7 linked regions of the Callithrix jacchus genome follow. The protein of the gene in region 6 interacts with the protein of the main gene of each other region in a pairwise test. Links are inferred from orthologs where the notes say so. Each region holds a gene or a part of one and is shown on either strand. Other genes may lie near its edges.

Evidence for each region.
Region 1: the proteins of MTUS2 (region 6) and BMP7 interact in a two-hybrid assay, tested with the Homo sapiens proteins (3 studies listed by BioGRID and IntAct). The two-hybrid records come from large-scale screens. The link is inferred for Callithrix jacchus from reciprocal best matches to the Homo sapiens genes MTUS2 and BMP7.
Region 2: the proteins of MTUS2 (region 6) and TSGA10IP interact in binary tests that used the Homo sapiens proteins (3 or more experiments, as listed by UniProt). The two-hybrid records come from large-scale screens. The link is inferred for Callithrix jacchus from reciprocal best matches to the Homo sapiens genes MTUS2 and TSGA10IP.
Region 3: the proteins of MTUS2 (region 6) and RBM41 interact in binary tests that used the Homo sapiens proteins (3 or more experiments, as listed by UniProt). The link is inferred for Callithrix jacchus from reciprocal best matches to the Homo sapiens genes MTUS2 and RBM41.
Region 4: the proteins of MTUS2 (region 6) and SNAI1 interact in binary tests that used the Homo sapiens proteins (3 or more experiments, as listed by UniProt). The two-hybrid records come from large-scale screens. The link is inferred for Callithrix jacchus from reciprocal best matches to the Homo sapiens genes MTUS2 and SNAI1.
Region 5: the proteins of MTUS2 (region 6) and FAM107A interact in binary tests that used the Homo sapiens proteins (3 or more experiments, as listed by UniProt). The link is inferred for Callithrix jacchus from reciprocal best matches to the Homo sapiens genes MTUS2 and FAM107A.
Region 7: the proteins of MTUS2 (region 6) and AQP1 interact in binary tests that used the Homo sapiens proteins (3 or more experiments, as listed by UniProt). The two-hybrid records come from large-scale screens. The link is inferred for Callithrix jacchus from reciprocal best matches to the Homo sapiens genes MTUS2 and AQP1.

The regions. Positions count from the first base shown.
Region 1 is NC_133506.1:52,758,689-52,762,188, reverse strand, and holds part of BMP7 (bone morphogenetic protein 7), read left to right. Parts: intron 1-184; coding exon 185-261; intron 262-1,713; coding exon 1,714-1,824; intron 1,825-2,734; coding exon 2,735-2,884; 3' UTR 2,885-3,500. UniProt on the Homo sapiens protein: Growth factor of the TGF-beta superfamily that plays important role in various biological processes, including embryogenesis, hematopoiesis, neurogenesis and skeletal morphogenesis.
Region 2 is NC_133511.1:123,035,891-123,038,374, forward strand, and holds the end of TSGA10IP (testis-specific protein 10-interacting protein), read left to right. Parts: intron 1-811; coding exon 812-911; intron 912-1,110; coding exon 1,111-1,235; intron 1,236-1,755; coding exon 1,756-1,879; 3' UTR 1,880-1,984; downstream 1,985-2,484.
Region 3 is NC_133524.1:103,648,382-103,651,881, reverse strand, and holds part of RBM41 (RNA-binding protein 41), read left to right. Parts: intron 1-2,950; coding exon 2,951-3,354; intron 3,355-3,500. UniProt on the Homo sapiens protein: May bind RNA.
Region 4 is NC_133506.1:45,525,138-45,529,365, forward strand, and holds the start of SNAI1 (zinc finger protein SNAI1), read left to right. Parts: upstream 1-1,428; 5' UTR 1,429-1,508; coding exon 1,509-1,590; intron 1,591-2,270; coding exon 2,271-2,798; intron 2,799-2,878; exon of another isoform or gene 2,879-3,449; intron 3,450-4,228. UniProt on the Homo sapiens protein: Involved in induction of the epithelial to mesenchymal transition (EMT), formation and maintenance of embryonic mesoderm, growth arrest, survival and cell migration.
Region 5 is NC_133516.1:40,405,224-40,409,523, reverse strand, and holds the start of FAM107A (actin-associated protein FAM107A), read left to right. Parts: upstream 1-1,500; 5' UTR 1,501-2,065; coding exon 2,066-2,089; intron 2,090-4,300. UniProt on the Homo sapiens protein: Stress-inducible actin-binding protein that plays a role in synaptic and cognitive functions by modulating actin filamentous (F-actin) dynamics. Mediates polymerization of globular actin to F-actin. Also binds to, stabilizes and bundles F-actin.
Region 6 is NC_133506.1:148,710,559-148,714,058, reverse strand, and holds the end of MTUS2 (microtubule-associated tumor suppressor candidate 2), read right to left. Parts: intron 2,991-3,500; coding exon 2,777-2,990; 3' UTR 68-2,776; downstream 1-67. UniProt on the Homo sapiens protein: Binds microtubules. Together with MAPRE1 may target the microtubule depolymerase KIF2C to the plus-end of microtubules. May regulate the dynamics of microtubules at their growing distal tip.
Region 7 is NC_133512.1:27,327,539-27,331,502, reverse strand, and holds the start of AQP1 (aquaporin-1), read left to right. Parts: upstream 1-1,164; 5' UTR 1,165-1,222; coding exon 1,223-1,606; intron 1,607-3,964. UniProt on the Homo sapiens protein: Forms a water channel that facilitates the transport of water across cell membranes, playing a crucial role in water homeostasis in various tissues.

The sequences.
Region 1 (3,500 bases), about 96 Mb from region 6:
TAGGTAGGGCCTTTGCTGGGGGTAGAAATGAGTTTTAAGGCGGTTAGACCCTTGGACTGGCTTTGGGATCAGGGAATGTGCTTGGCTGCTGTTCACATCACTGCCTAAGACGGAGGGAACTTTGATGCGTGTGTGTTTCTTTCTCCTCCCTGGCCTCTGCTTTTTCACTTCCTTGTCAACGCAGAGAACAGCAGTAGCGACCAGAAGCAGGCCTGTAAGAAGCACGAGCTATATGTCAGTTTCCGCGACCTGGGCTGGCAGGTAAGGGGCTGGCTGGGTCTGTCCTGGGCGTGGGGTCTCTGACGTGGGCCTCCCGTGAGGCAGCGGGGCTGTGCTTGGTCCTGTTTCTCATCTATGCCAGTTAAGACTCCTGTATCAAGTGGCCTCGCTAGGGAAGGGGACTTGGGCTAAGGATGCAGGGAGGACTCATGAAATCCAAGAGAAGAAATGTAGTTGAGACTTGAATGTGAACCAGGAACCCAAACACTTTGGACTCTGAACCCCATTCAGAGGTGCTCTGCGTGCACCTCATTCCCATCCCATGACTGGCTGCTTCTCCAGATGAGGCAGGGCTGTGTGTTTGAATCCAGATGCCTGTGGAGCCATCTCCTGCTCTGCCCACTGTTCCCACCTACCCCATTCCCATTCCCAGGGGAGGGATGGATCCCAGCTTGGTACAGGCGCTTGCTCCTGAACCAATCATGTTTTAGGGGTGGGGTCACATTACTGGCACATGACTACCCCCTCTGGAGCCATTTGCATGGAATGAGACAGAGGGCAGGGGATGAATCCTAGGAGAGGAGTGAGTGAATCTACCACCTGGCTGCCATGAGCTCTCATGTGATTCTCATTCAGAAATCAGGCAGCATCTGCAGCGTTCTGGGCCCTGTTCTAGGTACTGGATTGGAGGTACAGTGATGAACGTTGCAATGTGTCTGCCCCGTGGGGCTCAAATATCCCTGGAGAGGGTATTGTCATGAGGTCATCAGGGCAACTGGTGGTGTTCTGCCCTAGGGGAGCTTGTAGGTCAGTGGGAGAGTCCAGCATCTTCCCTGGGACTATGCCCAGACACACTCAGGGTGTGCACACACACATGGCCAGTTCCAAGCCCTCCCATGAGCCTGCCCTTGTGACTGATGACCACATCCACCTCCTGCTGGGACAGAACCTGAGTTATTAGCCTCTCTGGCAGGTGGGCGTACAAGGCATGGAGGTTTGTTTAAGGTAAACTGCCAGTTTGTGGCCACCTAGAGGGAGTGGAGCTGATGATCACCTAACACCGAAGGCCCCTTGCTGTGGTGTCTTCTGTCCAGGAGACACAGCCATGGATGGCCACCTTAGATCGGTCCAGCCCCATGGGGCTTTCCTCATTTTTAGGTTTTTTTTTTTGGAAATGGAGTCTTGCTCTGTCACCCAGGCTGGGGTGCAGTGGTGTGATCATAGCTCACTGCAGCTTCGATCTTCCCACTCAGTCTCCCAAGTAGTTTGCACTACAGGCTTGGGCCATAGCCACTGGTCCTTCTTTCCTTTCTTTTGGGACCATGCAAGGCCACCCATTTTTCCTTCCCCTCCTGGGCCCCTGCTGCTCAGGAAACCTGGTCTGAGCCTTTGACCTCAGGTTGAGGGCCTGGCATGGTGGCTTCTGGCTACATGGCGGTCAGGACTCTGCGGCTCAGGCTTTCTACACGGTTTCCCACACTCTCTTCTCCTCAGGACTGGATCATTGCACCCGAAGGCTACGCCGCCTACTACTGTGAGGGGGAGTGCGCCTTCCCTCTGAACTCCTACATGAATGCCACCAACCACGCCATCGTGCAGACACTGGTGGGTGTCACGCCGTCTTGGGGTGTGGTCACCTGGGCCGGGTGGGCTGTGGGGCCACAGATCCTGCTGCCTCCAAGCTGGGTCCTGAATAGATGAACGCCATGTCACGACGTTCATGACCCCTTGCCCCATTAAAAAAAAAATCAAAAATTGTATTTTATGACTGGTTTGGTATAAAAAGGGGTATAACCTTTGACCCTGAAGGTCATTTATTTCTTCTAATTTTAAAAGTAACTAGAAGTTTTATGGACGCCTTTGAGGATGCTTGTTGTGTTGTGGGCACTGGTTACTGTGCCTAAGAGTATTGGGCCCTGCTTCATTTTCCAGCAGAGGAAACAGGTAAACAGATGAGAAATTTTAGCGAGGGGCAGAGTGATCAGGAGCTGGCCAGCAGGATAATGGGATGGAGAGATGGGTGGGGACCCATGGGGCTATTTCAAGTTAAATTTCAGTGGGGCCACTGGGAAGATTCCATGTGATAATGAGATTCAGGTGCCCAGCACATGGCGACACTCCATAGATGTGATTGCCAGTAGCAACCACAGTGATAAGAGCTAGGGATTCTGTTCTTTGGTTAGAATCCAAGGTTCAGGGACCTTGGTTATATAGCTCCCTGCCATGAACATCATCTAAACCTTTCCTGCCAAGTGATCATCCATCCTGTCTTGAATGCTGCTGGTGACAGAGAGCTCACTACCAGAACCACCCCCTCCTTTCATTCAGTAATCTGCCTCCTTCTTTTCTTGTCCCCGTCCTGTGTGTTGAATCCCGGAGAAAAATCTCATATATTCCTTTCATTTGGTTCTTCCTTTTGAAGGCAAAGTTGTTTGTTTGTTTGTTTGTTCGATTTTTTTAAGTGTTGATTTTCCAAAGCCCTCTCTCACTGGCCATGTTTTGGTGCGTGTTTCAGGTCCACTTCATCAACCCGGAAACAGTGCCCAAGCCCTGCTGTGCGCCCACACAGCTCAATGCCATCTCCGTCCTGTACTTTGATGACAGCTCCAACGTCATCCTGAAGAAATACAGAAACATGGTGGTTCGGGCCTGTGGTTGCCACTAGCCCCTCCGGGAAGTCAGACCCTTTGGGGCCAAGTTTTTCTGGATCCTCCGTTGCTCTCCTCGGCCAGGAACCAGCAGACCAACTGCCTTTTGTGAGACCTTCCCCTCCCTGTACCCAACTTTAAAGGTGTAAGAGTGTTAAGCAATGTGAGCAGCATATGGCTTTTGATCAGTTTGTCGGTGGCAGCATCCAATGAACAAGATCCTACAAGCTGTGCAGGCAAAACCTAACAGGAAAAGAAAAAAATGCACAAAGAGAAATGGCTGGGCCAGGTCATTGGCTGGGAAGTCTCAGCCGTGCACGGACTCGTTTACAGAGGTAATTATGAGGGCCCGCCGGCCAGGCCACCCAGCCGTGGGAGGAAGAGGGCGTGGCAAAGGGTGGGCACATTGGTGTCTGCACAAAAGGAAAATTGACCCGGAAATTCCTGTAATAAATGTCACAATAAAACGAATGAATGAAAATGGTTAGGATGTTACAGATATATTTTCCTAAACAATTTATCCCCATTTTTTGGTTTATTCTGATTAATAAACAGAAGCTGTGTTATGTGGAGGTCGGGGAGGTCCCTCTCCATTCCCTTCAGGTGTCATTCTGAGGCTTGCAGAGGCCCAGT
Region 2 (2,484 bases), on a different chromosome or scaffold from region 6:
CAGCTAGCCGGGACTACAGGTGCATACCACCACGCCCTGCTAATTTTTGCATTTTTTTGTAGAAACAGGATTTCACCGTGTTGTCCAGCCTGGTCTCAATCTCTTGGGTTCAAGGATCCGCCCTCTTTTGCCTTCCAAAGTGCTCGGATTACAGGTGCTAGCCACTGCACCCAGCCAAACTGGGTTCTTGTAAATGAAAACTGTGCTTCTCCAATGGAAGCCTGATCTCTCCAGGATGTGGTTTTTAAATTTGAAACACTTTTTTTTTTTTAAGTTTCTCTGTCCTATTTTCCAAGCTGTCTGCTTATAAGAACCACAGAGAATTCTGGCAAGCTTGTCCGATCGCTGCTATAGCACAGTGAAATAAACTGAGCGCAAAGCCCAGAGAGAGGCCTTGCCCAAAGTCACACAGCTAACAACCACAGCTTCCCCTCAAGGGGAAGAGGACAGGGAGAGGGAGGCTATGGAAGCAGGTGTCTGGAAGCTCAGAAGCCAGCACTGGCCCCTTTCCCACGGGGGTGGCACAGGAGGATGGGAAGGCCCTGGCTGCACAGGGCTCAGTCCCTCACTTCCCAGCTGCCCAGCTTTGAACAAGTCCCTCAACCCTCCTGAGCCATCAGTAAATTGGTGAATAATGTCCACACTGGCTGACTTCACAAGGAATCCAAGGCCAGAATGGGCATGCAATCGCTTTATGAAGGTGAGGGTGAGAGCATGAATATCAAGCCCTGAGTAAAGATGAGCGGGCTCAAGAGTGGGGATGAACAGTTGTGTCCACGGTTAGCTGCCCAAAAGCCTGTCTCTCCTGCAGGCGTCAGGAGCGACAGCGCTTTGCTGAGTACCAGGCAGAGCTGCAGGGCATCCAGCACAGGGTGCAGGCCCGGCCCTTCCTGTTTCAGCAGGCCATGCAGGTGAGGCTGGCACCTGAGCAAGCACACAGCTGCCCGCTGCGAAGAGCTGGCTGAGTGGGTAGGGAAGCAGCATGGGCGGAGGTCCCTGCAGATAGGATCCCAGGGCTGGGGAGTCCCTGGGGCCCACTCAGTAACCAGAGCCCCAGCTTGCCCTCGGCAGCCTTGGCACAGAGCAGGAAGCCCTTTTCTCTTTCCTCAGGCCAATGCCCGTCTCACTGTCACCCGGCGCTTCTCCCAGGTGCTGTCAGCACTGGGGCTAGATGAGGAGCAGCTGCTGGCTGAGGCAGGAAAGGCGGACACAGTGGGCACCCCCAGAAAACCCAGGTGAGTCCCCCGGCAGGTCAAGAAATGGCTCTGTCATGCTGCTGAGGGATGGGGCGCCCACACCAGCACTCTGGGCTCTGGAGGGCCTCCCCTAGGCCCTGCCCTTCCTGTCACCCAAGGAAGTCTAGGCCAGGGTTGTCATTCCTACTTCTCAATGAGAAAATTAAGGACCTGACAGGCAGGGCCTTGCTTAAGGACACAGGAACGAACAAGCAGCAGAGTCAGTGTGGGACTCTGCAGCCATCCGAGCTGCCGCACACCAAGCCCTCATTAGGGGCTGGCACCACACTGGTTACTCCTCGGATACCTCTCTTATGCCTTCGAATAAACCTGGTATAGAGCAGGGACTATGAAGCCCACTTGACAATCAGGAAAGTGAGACTTGAGAAGAGAGAGTCACTTGCCCAGGACCACACAGCAAGCCAGTATAGGAGCAGGGTTTGAAGCCACATTGTCAGTGGTTTCTTTGGGCATGGGGGTGGCAGCTGAAGAGCCAGGGGGCTCTATCTGTGTCTTGAAGGAGCCACAGGCCAATGAGGGTGAGAATGGAGCACTCTCCTCAGAGCCCCCCAAGGAAAGAACCCACCGGCAGCCAGCCTGGCAGGCACCACACCCCCAGCGTGGACCCGGAGTGCAGTCCCTGAGATAAAAATGAAAGGCTTTATGGCAAACACAGCGTGGGATTTCTGGTGGTGGTGGTGGAGGCTCCAGGTTGGAAGTGAGAGGTGGCAGGTGAGTGGGCAGCAGGCTTAGCTCTGTCCCCACATCCCCCCAGGAGCTCTGGCTCTTTTGGTTCCCCCCACATCCCCCCAGGAGCTCTGGCTCTTTTGGTTCCCCCCACCCAGCACACACAGCCCCTTCTCTCCTCCTGAGGAGTGGGGACATCTCAAAGAGCAAGAACTGTGACTTCTCCACCCCATCCTCAATGTGTATGCTGGGTCCTAGAAATTCAAGCGTGAATAAGATGGAACGACTCCCGCCTCTGAGGATGCCCAGTCAGTGGGAGGGGGGGTGGACCCTCAGAGGGGTGCATACAACATACCCTAACACAGACTGACTGTGCCACACAGGGAGCCACAGTCTTAGTAACCGTTGGGTGGGGGGAGGGGTTTCAGGAGGGAATGTGTGCATTGGTCTTTTTAAGTTCCAGTAGTTTTAAGTTAGGGATCCTCTCCTCAAGAAAAAAAATCATACACACAGATGTGCCATATTTTGCATTCAATTTCAGGGGTTCCACGGACACACTGAC
Region 3 (3,500 bases), on a different chromosome or scaffold from region 6:
ATATGGAACTATCTCCAGGATATATTGTTAATTGCAAAAAGTAAATTGTAGAACAGTGCTTATAGTAGGTTACTTTTTATGTAGGAGAGAGGTATAACTAATGAATTATGTGTATGTATGTATATACCTATTTGCTTATATTTTCAAAAAAGAAACAATGAAACCATAAGCCAAAACCTAATAAAAATGATTATTTATGGGGAGTGAAAGGAATGGGATAAAGAGGACAGAAATGGAAGTGAGACTTCTGTGAAGGTATTGTATAACAGTTTTACTTTAGATCCATGTAAATATTTTGCATCATTTAAAAGTTTAATTAAAAAGGTAAAAATCAATCCCTAAAATTCAAAAACAACCTGAAGCAAATTAGCCTAATGATAAAGTTAGTAACATAATCCACACAATTGGAAAACAAAAGAAAACAATTACTTATACTGACTTTAAAACAACATTTGTATATTTCCAGTGGGGTCCATATTCTAAGGGCAAAAGTAACTGCAAAGAAATATAAAACTATATTCAGCAGTTTTATTGGTGATAGTATTGTTACTGACATTTTAAAATTCTATAAGTATATTGTAGGAAGAAGATAATAAATCATTTTGCTAATATTATTTTAAGCATGTGAGAGGAAATACAACTCTAAAATGAAGGAGTTTAAGTAAAAACCTTGTTATCTCAAATTTGAGTTGGAAATACCAATATAAACTCATGATTTACTTTTCCCTTTCAAAATGTCCCTCTTGCTCAGCAAACTAACACAGGAACAGAAAATCAAACACTGCATGTTCTCACTCATGAATGGAAGGTGAACAGTGAGAACACATGGACACAGGGAGGGGAACATCACACACTGGGGCCTATGGAGGGAAAGGGAAGAGACAGCATTAGGACAAATACCTAATGCATGTGGGGCTTAAAACCTAGATGATGGGTTGATAGGTGCAGCAAACCACCATGCCACATGTATACGTATGTAACAAACCAGCATGTTCAGCACATGTATCCTCAAACTTAAAGTAAAATTTTTTTAAATTAAAAAATAAAATAAAACCATTCCGGTGTATCATTTAAAAAAATGTCCTAGCTTTTGACCACTGAAAAGGCCTGGAAACAATAACTCAGAAGTTGCTTCTGTACACACCAGCAACACAGTATGGTTTCTAAATATCACTTCCTACTAAAAGGAACCAAGGGTCCTCACAAAAATATTCCAGGTTTGAGTTAGGAAGTGTGCAAGATGAGTTTAGGATATTTGGCTATGCCAGAAAGCTGGGAAGCAATACAGGAGCCAATTTGAAGGGTTTCCCAATGGTCCTAAGTGGAATAATAATACATTTTATTAGCACAGATAAAATATATGAAAATACACTCTTTTATTACTATACTAAAAATAACCATTGGTCACCATTGGACATTTCTTTCCCTCCCCTCCCCTCCCCTCCCCCCGCTTCCCTCTTCCGTGAGACGGAGTCTTGCTCTGTCGCCTAGGCTGGAGTGCAGTGGCACACTGCAACCTCTGTCTCCTGAGTTCAAGCAATTCTCCTGCCTCTGCCTCCTGTGTAGCTGGGACTACAGGCACCCGCCACCACACCTGGCTAATTTTTATATTTTTAGTAGAAACGGAGTTTCACCATTTGGCCAGGCTGGTCTTGAACTCCTGACCTTGTGACCTGCCCTTCTCAACCTCTCCAAGTGCTGGGATTACAGGCATGAGCCACCGCGCCCAGCCACCATTGGACATTTCTAAGGTGTCAACTTTTACTCTCATAATTGATAAATAATGGCAAAGAATCAAGCATTTATCCTGCCTTTCCCATATGATCTACATTTAGGGAAACGACATAGTTGATGACGGTAAGTTCACCATAGAATTCCAGATAATAAACACAAAAGAAATAATAGAATTAGGAAAGCCACAATTTGCAACTCTTAATAAATTAATATAGGTAATGGTCATCAATGGATGTAAAAAACCCATTAGGTAGAAGGTGAATGGGAAAATTTAATAATGGGGGCATGGGACTAATATCACCTAGCACCTCAATCCATTGATGAATTTCAGCATCACTACAAATGGGACCACCAAACATTATGTGCCTTATGATATGATACAATAGGAAGTACATATCTATCTATAAGGAATCTAACCTGTGGATCAGCACCACCCAATGTAACTTTCTGATATGATGTAATAGTTTTTATCTGTTTTGTCCAATATGGTATCCACTAGCCACATGTGACTATGGAGCACTTTAAATTTGTTAAGTTCGACTGAGGTACTGATATTTAAAAATTAATTTAAATAGACACATGTGACCAGTGGCTACTATATTAGGTAGCATAGTTATAGATTAACTGCCAGTAAATAGAATGGATTAAGGAACAAGTTAACAGCATCAGAAAATGATTAACCAAATTCATTTGTTCATAGAACAAATGTAGTTTATTTAATCAATGGAGGAGAGATAAAATAAAATAGAGGGGTGGGAGAGAAGAGGCACTGTTTTAGAATAAAACAATCTTAAGAAATATAACAGCCAGAGGCAGGTTTAGATTCTGAATTGAATAACCAAGTATAAAAAAAAACTTTGACATAATCAGGACAATTTGAACATGACATTGGTATTAGATGATACTAAGGAATTATTAATTTTGTGAAGCATAATGCTATATGGCTTATATATTTTAAATGTCCTTATCAATTAGAGGTACATGTATTTGCATGACCCTAGGTGCCTCACTTGCCTCACCGTAGTTCTGGCCTATAGTTGTGCTTGAAATAAACTATCATAAGATAGCTATATACCATTGTCATTTGTCACGGGTTGTAAAGACCTGCCCCAGCAGTGTTTCTTTATCTGAGGTCCAGGATTTAATTTTTATTAATTTGTCAAAGGTTGTATTGGTAGGCTTTGTGGAACTTCCCTATCTCTTTGTCTTCATCCAGATGAACCCCAAAAGAAGAACAAAGGTGATCCCATGAACAACCTGGAAAGTTTTTACCAAGAGATGATAATGAAAAAACGTCTTGAAGAGTTCCAACTTATGAGAGGTGAACCCTTTCCTTCCCACTCACTGGTCTCAGCTCCATCAGTGGGTGATAGTGGCACAGCTGAGAACCCATCATTACTCGAGGACAAGGGAAAACAGGCAGCACAGGGTAAAGGTCCCAGTCTCCATGTGGCAAAAGTTATTGATTTTTCACCTGAGCAGTGTTGGACTGGGCCTAAGAAGCTGACGCAGCCAATAGAATTTGTCCCAGAAGATGAAATCCAGAGAAATCGTTTGTCAGAGGAAGAGATCCGAAAAATTCCTATGTTTTCTTCATATAATCCAGGGGAACCAAACAAGGTATAGGCCAAACCAAGTAAAACAGCCTGGGTTGATTTCACTTTTATTTACCTCTACCTAAAGTAATCCTTTTAAATTAGCTTTGATGATACCAAAGAATCATGATATAGGCACAGTGATTGTGTTTGTCCTTGACCTTGACTATT
Region 4 (4,228 bases), about 100 Mb from region 6:
CCCCACCCTACTCCCACTCTCCAACTAGAACCAGGGGAGGATGGTTGTGCTCACTGCTGTTACACCTGGCACCGAGTGACCAAAACAGACAATAGTCCTGCCCTTCGAGTTGTTGTTGGTTGGGGGGAGGGTGCGTAAAGGTGTTCATGGTCTTCCTTCACAGATGGAAACAGGCATGGCGAGACCTGTGGGGTTTATTTCAGCACCACCCCTGGGCCTGGCATGCCTCCAGGGAAGCTGGGGTAGGGGTGCAGCTGCTCCTCACCTGGGCCCACCACACATACATTCAGTCAGGGTCCCTTAGGAGCCGTGAGAGCCTGTAGACAGGATGGGGATCTTCAAAGGGCTCAGGAGACACACCGGCCTCATCCCAACTCTTTGCCGGCCTACGGGGATCTTTTTCAAGGAAACTCTAACCAGGTACCTCCTCAGCTGAAAATCCTTCGGTGGCTCCCCAGTGCCCTTGAGGCAAAGTCCAGATTCCTCACATCTGACCCCTCCGGGCCTGCCCACCCCACCCCATCCCTGGGAGCTGCTCTCCAGGAGTTACTCGGAAGCAGTTGCCAGTTCTTCCCTCGGGCCTTTCCCCTTGATAATTCTTCACTTCCTCTGGGCAGTCACCCCGACCCCCTGTCAGGTGACCCGCCTCTTAACGGTCGCCGCGTCCCGTCTCTCCCCCACCAAAGCACACTTCCCTTTGCATTGTAATTGTCTGTTTACTTCAGCTGTCTCCCCCATTGGACGGGTAGCTAAACTTCGAGAGAGGCTCTGAGTGTCCTGTCCAGGGCTGTGCCCCGGCCCCAGGTACAGTGCCCCACACGTGCTGGACGCTCCGTAAACACTGGCTAAGGGAAGGAACGGGCGCACTTCGCTAGGCTGCTTTGCAAAAAAGCCATGGCATTTCATGCTGCCAAGAGCCACGTGTAGTGTCCGTTTCCTCGCATCCTCCCCAGCAATATGCATTTCCCTCCTCAATGCCACGCTCTCCAGGCGCCAGCCGGGCGGAGGAAATTTCCGCCCCCTCCCAAGCCCGAGGCGGGGGCGGGCTTCGGAAGGTCAGGTGTCCCGGCCCGCGCGCAGCGCCAGGGGGCGTCAGAAGCGCTCCGACCGTGGGGCGCTGAGCGGGTGGGTGCGAGGGGTCCCGCCTCGCAGGGGCCTAAATGCGCCCGATGTCCCGCCCCGGACAGCCCCAGCACTGGGAACGACCAGCGCTGCGCTCCCGAACCCCGCCTTGCAGGAGCCTCCGCCCGGGCTCCCAGCGCCACGCGGCGCGAGCCGGGTCCGCCCCCGGCGCACCTGCTCGAGGCGTGGCCTTCGGCGGAGACGTGCCTCCGATTGGTGCTGAGGTGACAAAGGGGCGAGGCAGATAAGACCCCTCCCCTGCCGCCCCCTGGAGTATTTAAGGGAGTTGGCGGCGCGGGTGCACTCATTGCGCCGCGGCACGGCCTAAGCGGTGGTTCTCCTGCGCTACTTCTGAGCGACTCGGCGACCCCGGTGCGTTGGCCACCATGCCGCGCTCTTTTCTTGTCAGGAAGCCCTCCGACCCCAATCGGAAGCCTAACTACAGCGAGCTGCAGGACTCTAATCCAGGTGCGTTGGAGGGGTCCCGGGCTCCAGGAGATTTGGGGGAGACAGGCGAAGGCTGCGTGGGGGGCACCTGAAGGAGGCGGCCTGCTTGGGCCAGGATCGATTCGCAGGATGTTTTGTGGAGCATTGAGGGCTCGGGCTCGGGAGACCGGGCAGGTAGGTCTCCAGTCCCAGGGATCTATCTGAGTGGTTTGGGGGGTGCCGTGTAGCGGGCAGGGGTCTTGCGCTTGGGGGGCCTTTGTAGCCTGCGAGAGGCGCAGGAGCTCCCGAGGGGAAGGAGGCCTGTGCCAGGAGGGCCCGCCGGACGCTGCTGGGGAGAGTCCGGAGTCCAGAGTGTTGAGGAGAGGGGTGGAGAGACCAGATGTGTGTGAGGAGGGGGACTGGGGTGGAGTGGTGGCTCGGGGGCTGGGGTAATGGGCTTCTGGCTTCAGGCTGGGGACTTGGGACTCAGGAGACCGAGATCTGGAAATGACCCTCTTCAACTGGGGGTCCTACCTGTGAGAGACTCAGGTTGGGTGACCTGGGCGAGGAGGGCAGGAATTTGGTCTGCCCTATGGATAATTTTATTGATCTAATTATGTGTTGAGAGTCAGCCTCACCCAGCCCCTGGCCAGCGGTGGGCTCTAGTTTGTTGATTGAGTGAATGATTTAATTAACGCCTGACTCTGCTCTTTCTCCCTCAGAGTTTACTTTCCAGCAGCCCTATGACCAGGCCCACCTGCTGGCAGCCATCCCACCTCCGGAGATCCTCAACCCCACGGCCTCGCTGCCAACGCTCATCTGGGACTCTGTCCTGGCCCCCCAAGCCCAGCCAACTGCCTGGGCCTCCCTTCGGGCCCAGGAGAGCCCCAGGGCGGCAGAGCTGACCTCCCTGTCAGATGAGGACAGCGGGAAAGGCTCCCAGCCCCCCAGCCCACCCTCACCGGCTTCTTCGTCCTTCTCTTCCACTTCGGCCTCTTCCTTGGAGGCCGAGGCCTATGCTGTCTTCCCAGGCTTGGTCCAAGTGCCCAAGCAGCTGGCCCAGCTCTCTGAGGCCAAGGATCTCCAGTCTCGAAAGGCCTTCAACTGCAAATACTGCAACAAGGAATACCTCAGCCTGGGTGCCCTGAAGATGCACATCCGAAGCCACACGCTGCCCTGCGTCTGTGGCACCTGTGGGAAGGCCTTCTCTAGGCCCTGGCTGCTGCAAGGCCACGTCCGGACCCACACTGGTAAGTGCCCCTCCTGGCCCGCCCCACTGCTTTCTCTGCCAGCTTTTGTGAATCTGGGCTTACTTTTCTCATTCTCAAAGTTGTAGACACGGAGGCCCCGAGTCTCCTAACTTCTAACTCAAGTTCAGGGGCCCGGCTCTCTGGAAACGTTTGGCAGAAATGTTCCTTCATCAGCTAAGCAGATGGGCAAAGCAGACACCTTTCCAATCCCCTGCAGCCAGCTTCTCAGCCAAATGGGTAGGAGCTGGATATGGGAAAGGTGCCACCAGCACCTTGTGGTGGTGGCCAGGTGCGAAGGGGTCCGCCTGGCCCCACCCTCTCCTGATCCACCCCTCCCTAGCCAGACAGGATGTTGTCAGACCCCCCCCCCACCTGGCTCTGAATCCTGCTTTGAGAACTTTCTCAAAGCTTGGTCTGATGTTTCACTTCTGTGAGCCTCATTTTCCCTATCTTTCAGATGGGCATGAGAACAGCCTATGGGGTTTCTATGCAGGCTAAATGCAGGAATGCGTATGGGAAGCACCTGGCAAAGTGCCTGGTACCTGCTAAATGCTCACAAAAATGCTTCCTTGCCGTTTGCTCGGCTTCCCTGCTGTGTGACTTTGGGCAAGCAACTTAACCTCTCTGAGCCTCAGGGGAGGATTATGATAGGTAAGTTTTAGAGAGTGACTGTGAAGGTTGATAATCACTTTATGCTAATCACTTTGCAGTAATTTATCATACCTGGTGGTTCTCTGGTCTGCTTCCCCACCCCCACTCAGTCCTATCTGGCAGACCAGGAAAGGCATCTTTGGGGCAGACAGCGCAATCATGTCTTGGTGTCTTGAAAATTTACTAAATGCGTAGGAAACTTTCTGGACGTGGAGAAAAGGTAGAACTTTTTAGAACTTGAATGGTGGTGACCACCATGCCCAGAGCTGCTCTGGAGAGTGACGGTTGAGAGAGGAGATTCCAGGGGTTCACCCCGGGCAGGTTCTGCCATTTCCTGACCCAGCACCTGACCTCGGAGTGGTGAGGGTCAGTGCGGTGTCTGGAAGGCCTGGCCTTTTGCAGGCTTTATTGGCATCTTACTCAACTAAGGCTACCCATTTCTCTTCCTTTGTGCACCCTTAGCCCTGATTTTAACATGTAAAGGTCCAACTGCCTGGCCTTCTGGGTGCCTGCCTAGCTCACAGGGCTCTATTTTGGGAGCGTTGAACCCCTCAGGGTGCTGCTCTGCTGTCCCCCCTCCCTTGCCCCCAATCCGGCATTATTTTAATGTAAAGGCACGGCTGGGACACAGAAATGTATCACTGCTGTCCTCATTGACTCCCATTGTGTGCCTTAATGGTGGGCCCAGTGGGTGGGGGCTGGGAGGAGCAGAGCAGGTGCATGGGGCAGCGGTGCCCAGCACCTGTTCCAGTCGCAGCTGCTGGCCCAGTGCATGGCAG
Region 5 (4,300 bases), on a different chromosome or scaffold from region 6:
ATCCTCCATCATGTATTCTTCCACTAATATTGCTCTAGACCCAGGGGGGAAACTGAGGAGCAGGACAGACCAGGCCCTGGCCTTTGTGGAACTGCCATTCCAGGCAGAGGAGACAATCGACACAGAAGTCATATCATTTTGTCACTGATGAGTGCTGCGACAAAGTAATAAACAGAGAGCCTGGGAACTACTGTGCAGAAGGTGTCAGAGAAAGCTTCTCTGAGGAGCCTGAGAGATAAAAAGGAGAGAATCATGCAAATATCAAAATATGAAATATGAGGAGCAGAGGGGAAGTTGGGGAGGAAACATCCCACGCAGAAAGAGTAGCAAGTGCAAAGGCCCTGGGAAGGGGAAAGGTGCTGTGACCCAGAAGCTGCCAGGGAGAGGGAGGAGAAGGAACTGAGGTCCTAGCAAGGCCATTTGTCAGACCTTGTGGACCTGGGGGCTTTTGTTCTGTTGGCAAGGCTGGACAGAATGCCTAATTCTTGACCCTCCAGCTACGGTTCCATGAGGCATCTGTGTGTGTGCCAGGCACCGCGCTAGAGGAAAGGAAAGAGTGGCAAGGTTTCCCGACCCGCCCACCTCTGGGGAAAGGGCGTTGTGCTTAGTGAACTGGTTAGCCGGGACTTTCCAGTGGGCAATGGACTTATCATTTGTGTTCTTAACAGCAGCACCTAACTTCGCTGAGGAATTGTTCGCTAGATGCTCTGCTTACCCTCACAGCCCCAGGCAGTGGGGGCAACTGTTACCCACCTTTAGTGAAGCGACAGATTATAAAACAGGGAGTGATGGCCAAACACAGTGGCTCACATTTGTAATCCCAGCACTTTGCGAGGCCAAGGCAGGCAGATCGTGAGGTCAGGAGTTCAAGACCAGCCTGGCCAATATGGTGAAACCTCGTTTCTACTAAAAATACAAAAACCAACTGGGTTTGGTGGCACACACCTGTATTCCCAGCTACTCGGGATGCTGAGGCAGGAGAATCACTTAAACCTGGGAGGCGGAGGTTGCAGTGAGCCGAGATTGTGCCACTACACTCCAGCCTGGGTGACAGAGTGAGACTCCATCTCAAAAACAAACAAACAAACAAACAAACAAACAGGGAGTGACATGCTCTGATTTATGCTTACACAAAATGATAGCTTCAGCTGCACACACACACCTTACTTCATTTAGCCATGTGCAGTGGGAGTGCTTATCACATACGCTCGTGCGCGCGCACACACACACACACACACACCCCGTGCCCCCAAGGCCACACAGCTGTCAGGGGCAGAGCCACAGTTCAAGCCTAAGGTTTTTTCAGGCTTAACCTCTGCTACAAGCTGGCATCACAGAGAAGGAAGGGGCTGGCAAATGAGGAGGAGGGTGATTGCCGGGGGCACTTTGAGAACTTGGCCCCAGGCCTGGAATCCAGCCTTCAGCTATTTTCTTGGCCTGAGCCCAGACCAGCTGACCTCCAGCCCTCCCAGGCAGCCTGCTGCCCAGGCGTCTGCTCTCAGAGTTCCTGCTGTGGGAGAGCCCCAGACCCCAAGAGTCTTCAAAGGTCTATTATTAATGGGGCTGTCCAGCCGAGGCTGACATCCCCACGCAGCCGTCCCAGAGCTCTGCACCTCAGCCAGCCCTCGGCCTTCCCTGTCTGGCCCTGTCTGCTGAGCAGTGCCTAGCAAGGGCCAGCCAGAGGTCACCCGCCGCACCTGAGCTACCGGTGTGTGATGAGAGGACTGCCTCGCGTCTTCCCCCCTTTCCCAGCTGCCTTAGTTTCCCTTCCTGAGAGACGCAGCGTTCTGGGAGGTGAGGAGCTGCAGGGACCCAAGAAAGGCATGGGAGCCGCCTGGGGACACTGGCCCCTCTGTCAGGATCAATCGCCCTAAGCCTGTCTGAGGCGCTCTGGGCTTAGGAGCAGCTGTGAAAGCCGCCTTTGTGCCGGGGAGAATGAGCCACAAGAGGACAGGGGGCCCTGGCCCCGGGAGCCCCTCAGGTCCTGGCTCCTGAGATCCACGCCAGCAGGAAGGACCCCAGCCTGGTCCCTGCAGCCCACCCAGGCCTGGTGCCACCTCGTGCCATGGGAGCAGCCCAGGGGAAGAAGGTAGGAGCCCCCAAGCGTCCTGTTGGGGCCCCGGACACGGGAAGGGAAACTGAACCCAGCAAGTGGGAGCCCTGACCCACCTACCCGGGAGCTTCAGCTGGCACTGCCCACCAATCTTCTTCCTGGCACTCACAGCCAAGATGTGCAGCTAGAAAACTGGTGGGGGCTCAGGGCAAAACCAGCATCCTAATCTCTCCATCTCTAGGACAGACTTGGGGACAGCCGAACCTCTCTGGCTCCCTGGTATTAGCCACACACATCTCTACTTCCCTGAGTAAAAGCTCCCAGGGTACCCCTTCCCCACACCCCAGGAGAGTGTCTGATGCAGGTGGATACAGGGGAAAGATCTTAAAATTATTATGATTATGATTATGAGTTGGCTAACCAGCTGTTACCAGTTGTAGGGCAATGGGCAAGTTATTTAAGCTTTCTGTACCTCATTTCCTCACCTGTAAAATAGGGCCAATAATAATCACTACCTTGGAAAATCGTTGTGAAAATTATATGAATGAAAGCGTTTAGAACGCTGCCTGGCACTGTGTAGAGGCTCTGCTCCTTTGTTAGTAGAATTCTATTCATGCTATTATCCCTCACCTCCTATGCCTGAGCTCTCAGCTGGGGGTTTGTAGACAGCACTGCCTGAGCAGTGTTTCTGGAAATGCACCCCTTGGACCCCTGCATCAGCATTGTGGGGCGGGGAGGAGCAGGGAGCTTGGAAAACAGTCGCTTTCTCGGGGCCCGTCAGACCTCCTGGATCAGTGGGGGCAAAGAGGGGAGGGGCCTGCATGTACTCACCAGCTCTGGGGATTGTGGGATTGTGGCACAGGAGCTCACTGCTCTCCACCCACAGCCCAGTACTGCCACCCCGGGGCGTGGTCAGGCTGCGAAGTCCCAGCTCCACCACCCACCTACTGTGGCGAGGACCTGAACCCCTCTGGACCTCAGCTTCTTGTCTGTAAAATGGGGCTGGTACCTGCTTTGTGGGAGGTTCAGTAAGGTGTTGCTTGTGAATGCTTAGTGCAGTGCGCTACCTGACACCCAGAGGGTCCCCAATAAACAGGGGACTCTGACCTTCAGACAACCAGGGATGACCTATTCCATCAACGCTGAGACACTCAGGGAAGAAGTCATTTCCTAGCCAGGGTCATGCAGCTAGTGGGGGAAAGAGCAGGGTGGTGGTGGTGTTAATTTGGAAAGGGGAGCTTTATTTCTCATAAAGATTACAGCCTGCAGGGTGGCCATTCCAACAGGCCGGGAAACATGGCCTCTGGCCAGAAGCCAGAGACTGATACTTTGAGGAAGAGGCAAAGGGAATTGAAATGTATGCTGAGCACCGTGGCCAAATATACATATTCAATAAGCTGTGGGGGAGTCATGTGTATTTATGAAAGGAGAAACATGTGCATGCACAGCTGAGCTTCATGCCTCTTATGGGCCCCGTGTACAAAAAAGTGTTGGCCTTAGTGTGATCGGAGGGTGGAATTTTCAGCCCTCTGACATCAAAGGGGAAGCAGGGGGCATGAAAACCCTCACTGTGCATCCTCTGCAGACTGGCTAGAACCGCTCCATGACTGGTGGTCTCTTATCAAGAAAGAATGCTGGTGGGTTTTTGTGTCAAAACCGTAAAAGGGTGGAGCAGTTGGTTGAAATCAGCATGGAGTCTTTTGAAAAGGCCGGCTTCTGTTTAGCTCTTAGGGAAGAAAGTCTAGTGGAGGTTATCAAGGAACAGGGCACCACAGGGTGCATGCAACCTCCCATCCTGCCATGGCCAGAAACTCACTTTTCAAGATTTCTCTGGGGTCCCCTTGGTCAAGAGGGGGTCCGTTCAGTCACTTGCGGGGGTTAAAGTTTTATTTTTCTTTCTCATTTTTCTTGGGAAGGATTTTGACCCCACTCTGCTTGATGCCAAACAAGCCAGCCCATCCCACCCTTCCTGGTCCATAGCCCTGTCCACGGCATCTTGATCAACCCCCACCTCAACCTCCCATAGGAGGCTGTTGACCGGGCACCTGCTGCCCTGTGCCAGGGTCTGTGTGAAGCTGGAGCCAAGGATGAGGAGACACAGTCCCTGACCTTGAGCCCATCCCTGTCAATCGCAGAGACTGACAGGCAAGCAAGTAGGAGTATGTGTGACAGTTGAAGCAGAGGGGACCGGGCACATGACCCCTGGGCCAAGAGTCAAAACACAACGTTGTTGTGTCTATTCCTCTT
Region 6 (3,500 bases):
CCCTGCCTGGAATCCCCAGCATGAGAGGGACAGGTCTCCAGTTACATCAAGCAGGTATCACAGAAAGTCCCTCGAGTTTACTTTAATAGGCTTTAGAGTTAAACACAAATATGCAACACAAACCATAGGGGCAGGAAAAAAGATGTTGTGACCCCATTCATTCAACTAATCACGGTTGGGGCCGCCCCCATCCCCACCTGTTCTGACATTCGACCAGAACCTTGTCCCAGCATGTGGTGGCCAGGGGCAGGGGTGGGGGCAGGCCGCCCACGCATCTCCAAACGCCACGAAGAGACCGGTGGTATCTGGTGGGTCTGTCTGAGGCAGGTGCGGAGGCTGCAGCATCCAAACGTGGAAACGTCACTCCAGCCTGGAAGGGGACAGAGGCGGATGCCATGTGGAGAGAAATCCTAATCCTGATGGCGTGGAGGGATGGAAGAATCGAGGAGGAGGCATAGCAGCTGCCACCCCATGGCTCAGATGAAGGGCCATACATGATGGGTGTCCGTGACAAAAAAAACAAAACAAAACACAAAAACAAACGAAAATGAAGCCAGGGCCATGTGGAAATTAGCCCAAGTACCCAAGGTCAGGGCGGATTAGGGCAAAGCTCTCAGCAAAGTCCACCTAATGAGGAATTACTTAGTGCTAACAATGCTACAACTCCGACCACAGCAGCCTAACACACTGTACCACGTCCTAGCATCACACGGAAGTCGGTATTGCTGTGTAACTGCATTTAGCAGGTGCGGCTATGTAAGCAGTTCCTAATTCGGACAGCTAAGCTGTAACCGAATTTGTGTTTGCAGGTTGTGGCTGCTACAAGAATAAATAATTGTGTACTTAGTCAATGTGGCATGATCTACTCTAATGGAATGCCCAACTCAATATCACAGTATCATGCAGAGCCACTAAAGCAGAGAAATGGTGCTTCCATGTGGATTTACTGTGTATGTCCCCAGAAGGAACAAGACCCTTGGAGGCTTGCTGGAGATGTACCTGAGGCCCGGGAGCCCAGCTTGGACTCATGCTAGGGCCAGGGACCATGTCTGTCTTTGTGCTGGCCACACATGTGCCGAGTAGGCGTGCCCTGGACAAGCCGACCTCATCCTCGGGCTGTTTCTTCCCTGCTCCATGGCTCCAGCCCCTGTAGGACCCTCTCATGGTTCTTCTCATCTTGGACATGCTCAAAGACAGGCCTGTGCTCAGGATAATTCTGGGGGGCCTCAGAGAGATAGTGCAGGGTCTTTGTCATACACAAGGAAACAAGGGCATCATCATCATCACCATATGTGTTAAAACTACTTCCTTTTGTGTATCATGCTCCTAATCTTCCACACCACTACATGAGTACTGTTTACATCCTAATTCTACCATTTTAGAGACAGGTGCCAGTCCAGGATGTGGTGCCGCCTGGCTGGCTGCTTCACTGCGCTCCTCTGTCTGGGAGAACCTTCTGGGTCTAAGATGGCAGCACAGTCAGCGGTAGCATTGCCTGATCACATAGAAGGAAGTGCAAGCGGGTTTCTGGGTGGTGGTGTGATGATCTAGCACAGCTCAGAACTGGTCCCCCGGGACAGAAAATGGTGTTTTTCCCAGACGCCCCTGCTAGAACCCCTGAGCCACCTCAATGTGCAGTGAAGGGGTTGAGCTGTAGAACCAAATTGAAAAGGGGACTGCTATGAAGTGGGGGCCTGAGGGTCATATTTCAACAAGTTGATCATTTACAGCATTGCATCAGAGCGAACCACATGGAAAGCTGGCGTGACGGTCCCACTCTGTGCCTGGTCAAAATACAGACCCTAGCAGCAATTTCCTTCATGAGGATGGAGCGTGAACGGGCGCAGTCATCTCCAAGGCCATCCTCACTCTCACTCAAACGTCATGCTCTGCCATGTTTTCCCAGGGGTGCAACAGTAGCTTAATGACCGAGTCTGAGATGCCATTTAGGAAAAAAGCAAAACTTGTTTACAAGACTATTGGAGATGAGTCACTGTCATAAGTCACATCTGAAAAACTGCTAATCCCCCTTAGGGTTTCCCACGGCTCTCCCTTATCCACGCATGGCAGGCGTATTAATAATTAAAACTTGCGAATGGAAGAATGGTGACCTCACATCACGTTGACTAAGAAGCTGATTGTTCCAAAGGCAGTTACCATTCACAAATCGCTGGTGTTCGTGTAAAGAGAGTACCACTTGGTGGTGAGTTGAAAGGCGCTTCTTCTCTGTATCCTTTTTTTTTTCCTTTTTCTATTTTGGGTAGAAATATTCCTGGGAAGCTAGATAGAAATGCATTTTCATTTCCCAATAATTCTTAGGCACAAGTTAGAAAACTGCTGACCTTCACTAAAATATGTCAGCACTTCATAAAAAATGCAATTCGGAACCGCCGCATGTGTATATATGTGTATCTAAATATACACACATACCGGTGCAGTACACAAAGATTATTCAATGTATATTGAAAACTGAGCTTTTGGTAACTAACCTGAAATACTGCAGTGAAAGTTCATTGCTCAAGAACAATTGCAAGTGTCTTTCTTTTGGCTCTAACTATGGTAAAACGTTTGCACATCAGACTTTACCGTTTACACGTTCCTAAGTGCTGACACCAGGGCAGTCTTACACGGGGATCAGAGGAGGACGCGCCTTGGATGCATTTGCAGCTACTGAAGCATGCGTGCAGGGCCAGCTCCGGCAGCACCGGGTCAGTGCTCCCTCAGGGTGGAGACAGGAGGGCGAGAAGCCGGAGCTCCCGCAGGCCGCGTGGTGGCGTCATCTGGGAGTCATGCTGACTCTGGCCGGAGAGGAGGGCCCCGAGGAGGAGCCGCGGTAAACGGGAGATGTGGGCGAGAGTTTAATGGGGCTGGTTGGGTCTCCGGTTTGGAGCTTCCAAAGCAGCTCTTCGTTGGTTCGGCTCAATCTCTTCTTCTCCTGGGTTTCCTTCTCAACATATTCCTGGAGGTTAGCATTTTCCTCCGACAGTTGTCTGCATGGGCACAACGACAATCAATCAAGTAGCAATCATGTTGGTGGACACTGAACCTGAGGTCGGGACAATGAGTGCAGGGCAAGGAGAGGAGGCTGTGATGCCCGCAAGGAGAACGGGGACCAGGGCGGCCCCGTGACCAAGAACACTGATTGAATCATGATTTCCACTTGGCCCAATGACACTTCTGTTCCCAGAGGCTCTCTGGCCAACACCCATCATCTCACAGGCCCTCTGCCCGGTCAGGGGAGGCACTGCTCTGTCTATCCACTGGAAAGAGCAAAGGTCCAGTGACTGAACAGAGGGAAGTGGAGAGCTGGAGTGGGTATGCTGCCAGGAGGCCCCAAGAGGACAGTCAGCTGCAGAGGTGGCAATTGACAATGACAACAGCACAAGGGCAGAGACAAGCTGCCAGCCTTCCTGAGCCTGCCAGGAAACTGGGGATGCCTTCTCCTGGCCTCCCTGCCCCAGGCTTGCGCCTCCAGGACAGCAGGCATCCTCCCTTGCTAG
Region 7 (3,964 bases), on a different chromosome or scaffold from region 6:
CTGAGGGCTTTGGTCCCTCCTGCTGTGGGGGGCTCATCAGGCCCCTCCTGCTCTCTGCCTCTCCTCATTTATCTCTCCCTCTCTGCTTCTTGGCTCTGGGGTCCAGTCCTATCTCCCCTGCTTCAGTTCGTCTTTTCTTAACCCTCTGCGTGCTCTCTGTGTCTCTGCTTGTCTCACTGTCTCTGGCTGGGGATCTTTCTCTCACTTCCACTTTTGCTCTATTTCCCTGCTACCGCCTTCCTTCTCTCCGTGTCTCTCTGTTCTCTTCCCCTCAGCCTGCATCTCCCTGTCTCTCCCTTTCTCTCCTGCTCACTCACTCCCTCCTCTCCAGCACCTTCCAATACCAGGTCAGGCTGCCGTTCCTTCCACCTTCCCAGTGACCTGCCAGTGTGACTGCCTTGAGAGGAAAGTCCGAAACTGTCTCCATCGTCACCAACCTGCCCTCAAATCGTTGGTTCAAACAGCTCCTGAGAAGTTCGGGAGCTCCGAGGGTGGGCGCTTTCTAACAGCCCTGCCATACTCACAGCACAGAGAGCAGCCATAGACAACCTCTCTGCACCTACTGATGCCTCCGTGCCTGCTTCCACTGAGGCTTGGCTGGTGGGACTGGGGGCTTTGGGACATCCCTAACATGGCATGCAGTGGTCGTGCAGGAGGCCCTGACTGTGCCTCTGGAGCCCTGGGCTCAGAAACTCCAGGCCAGTCTCTCTCTGGGTTGGGATGGGGATGTCAGGCCAGCAGGATCATGGTGCCTGCCTCCAGGGAGGGCAGCGTCCACCCACCGAGTCCAGCCTACCCACTCCACCCACTCGAGTTCCTGGCTCTACCCTCAGGAACCCCCTGAGCTTTGCACACAGGGTGGAGACACCTGGATTTCTCTGGTCCCCTGAGTGAGGCCAGTTTGGAGGAATTTCCCAAAGCCTGTTAGAGCAACGGCCGCCTCCTGCCTGCCTCCTTGGGCTGGGCAGGGCTGAGGGCGGAGGGAGAGGGGGGGGGAGAGGAGGAAGGAAAAAGTTGGCAGGCCGACAGCAGAGCCGAGTCTGCATCCATCCAGAGGAGGCCCGTGCGGTGTGGGGCGGGCCAGGAGTGAAGAGAGGCCTTCCTCCCTTTGTGCTCCCCCCGCCCCCCCGCCCCTATAAATAGGCCCAGCCCAGGCTGTGGCTCAGCTCTCAGAGGGAGTTGAGCACCCAGCAGCGGTCTCAGGCCAAAGCCCCCTGCCAGCATGGCCAGCGAGTTCAAGAAGAAGCTCTTCTGGAGGGCAGTAGTGGCTGAGTTCCTGGCCATGACCCTCTTTATCTTCATCAGCATCGGTTCTGCCCTGGGCTTCAAATACCCAGTGGGGAACAACCAGACGGCAGTCCAGGACAATGTGAAGGTGTCGCTGGCCTTCGGACTGAGCATCGCCACGTTGGCGCAGAGCGTGGGCCACATCAGCGGTGCCCACCTCAACCCAGCCGTCACGCTGGGGCTGCTGCTCAGCTGCCAGATCAGCATTCTCCGTGCCCTCATGTACATCATTGCCCAGTGCGTGGGGGCCATCGTCGCCACCGCCATCCTCTCCGGCATCACCTCCTCCTTGCCTGGGAACTCGCTTGGCCGCAATGACGTGAGTGGGGTGTCCCCGGGCTCGGGGTGTTCTAGCATGATGCTGAAAGGCACTGGTTCCATCCTTGGCCCATTGTGCAGATGGGGACACTGAGGAATGGAGAGAACAAGAGGTGGCTGGAGGTCACGAAGAGAGCTGGGGCTAGAACTCAGCTATGCATGCCTCCCAGAGCCTGTTTTCCGCCAGGCACTGTGGGAAGCTGAGAGCCAGGGAATAATGGTCTTGCCAATGTCCCCTGCAGGGCATTTATTATGGGGAATAAGCTTGGCCAGCCGTTCCTCGCCCCTTGGCTGTAGCTTTTTGGCCCTTCTCAGTCCTGCCTGTGCCGCCAGCTCCCTCCTCCTGCAGCCCTGCACCCTGGGGAAGCTTTGCCCACCATCCCTAGCCACCCTGAACCTGATGCCCAGCCTGTCTGCAGCTGGTTCTGCAAGTGTATGAGCAGGACTCCCTCAGGGAGCCCCCAGGCCTCTGGGGAGCCCCCCATATTCACACAGGTTTCCAAACACACCACCTCTAGGAATTAAGAGAAGAGCTCTCTTCCACTCCTCTGCTCCAGGGAATTAGACAAAGATAAGGGAGTGAAAACACTTTCTGGGGCTGTTTGGAAGTGGTTTTCCTGGATTACAGTGTGGGCTGGGGGGCAAGTGCTGGGCTCCAGGCACTGACAGGTGTGGCGTGTGTGTGTGTCTGTGTTTGTGTTTGTGTGTGTCTGTGTTTGTGTGGGTGTGCATGTGTGCATGTGTTTGCCAGCATGGGTCTCTGAGCTTGTGTAAACTGTGCGCATGTTTGTGCACCCGTGTAAGGGTGTGTGGGGGTGTTTGTAACCACACGTGCCCATGGCTCCTGGCCTGAATGGGGTCTGGACTGGGGTCACTAATGACAAGCAGATGCTGGTGACTGGGTGGCAGCTGTGGAAGAGAATGTCTCCTGAGCTGCTTAGCACGGCTAATAGGCCACTGGTGGCAGCTGCCTGCTATCTCAGACCTGAGTTTTTCCAGCTCCTCAGACAAGTGCAAACTCAGGCCGGGCTTGGGCCATAGCAGGGGTGATTTGGCCTGGAGACTGAGGAAGGCTTGGAGGATGTCTCTGAGAGCCCAAGGGGTAGGTGAGCAGGCTTGGGGGTGCCCTCATGGGGAGGGAGGGAGGCTAAGAAGTAGAGAGGAGGACTCATCTAGAGAGAGGAGGCTGGCGGGGCTGTGGGCAGGGCAGGCAGGTGTGGGGATGGTGTGAGCCATCTCTGAGGGTGCCACAGAGATGGCAGGAGTGATTATAGCAGCTGTCCTCTCTCTTCCTAGCCAAAGTTCAGATTCTGGGGCTGGCAGCCAGCAGGAGGCTAGGTAAAGGTCTGGTGCAGAGGGCAGCTGGCTCAGCCCGGCCACGGGGGGCTTAGCACTTTTGTGTCATGGTGACAGCTTGCCCAGCTTCCTCTGCAGCCAATCTCTGCTCAGCCCAAGATTGAAGATTAGCTCCCTGGGCTGGAGTTTAGACTTTTGCCAGTTTAGACATGGCTACAGGGGATGTAAGGGACAGAGCTCAGGCAGGCCACGTCAAGTTCTGCCCCCCAGGCCTCAGTTTCCAGTGGAGGCAGAGCTTGTGGCCTCAGGGAGTTCCAATGGGTAGGGTCAAGCTCACACTGAGGCTTGGCTGGGCATCATGGGCTGGGGAAGGGTCCCCATGGGGGAGGGGTTGCAATTCCCAGGCTTTCTGGCCCCATCTCTTCCCTCCCATCTCACAGGGCAGTACCTCTGCACCTGCTGGCAAAAGCTCCACGCTCCAGTATGGGCATCTGAGGCAGAGGCAGGAGGGTGGGCCCCATCTGTGCCATCTGGATCAGGGGCCACACCCAACTCCCGTGCCCCATGTCCTCCCTGGCCTCCGTTTTTTATAGTAACCCCAATACTTGGGCTGGGCATGTTGCAAATGGGAGAAAAAGAGGAGCAGCCTAGTGTGGGGGCCAGCCTTGGGCTGGGAGGCACACACCTGGATTCAAGACGTGTCTGTAGCTAACCTGTTGAGCTTCCTTGGAGCTGCGGACCCTGAACCTGGAGAGGGGACCTAGGTCTTGTGACATCTCACAGCCACACCCATACAGCCAGCTCACTTCATTGCTTTGCACTTATCACCCATCCCAGGGAAGCTGGGTAAGAGCAGCCAAGCAGGGCCAGTGCTGAACCTCAGGGCACTACGAATTGCAGTGGGGGCTCAGGCGCTGCCCTGTCCCGACAGGAAGGATGGGGTTCTGCAGCTCAACTCTGGGCCTAGAAACAGAAATGTGCCCCCCGAGGGCTCCCATCAGACACTGGCCCTGGAACTGGAGGGGGCTCAGGGGTGGCCCGGATGCCTTAAAAGGGACAGGGG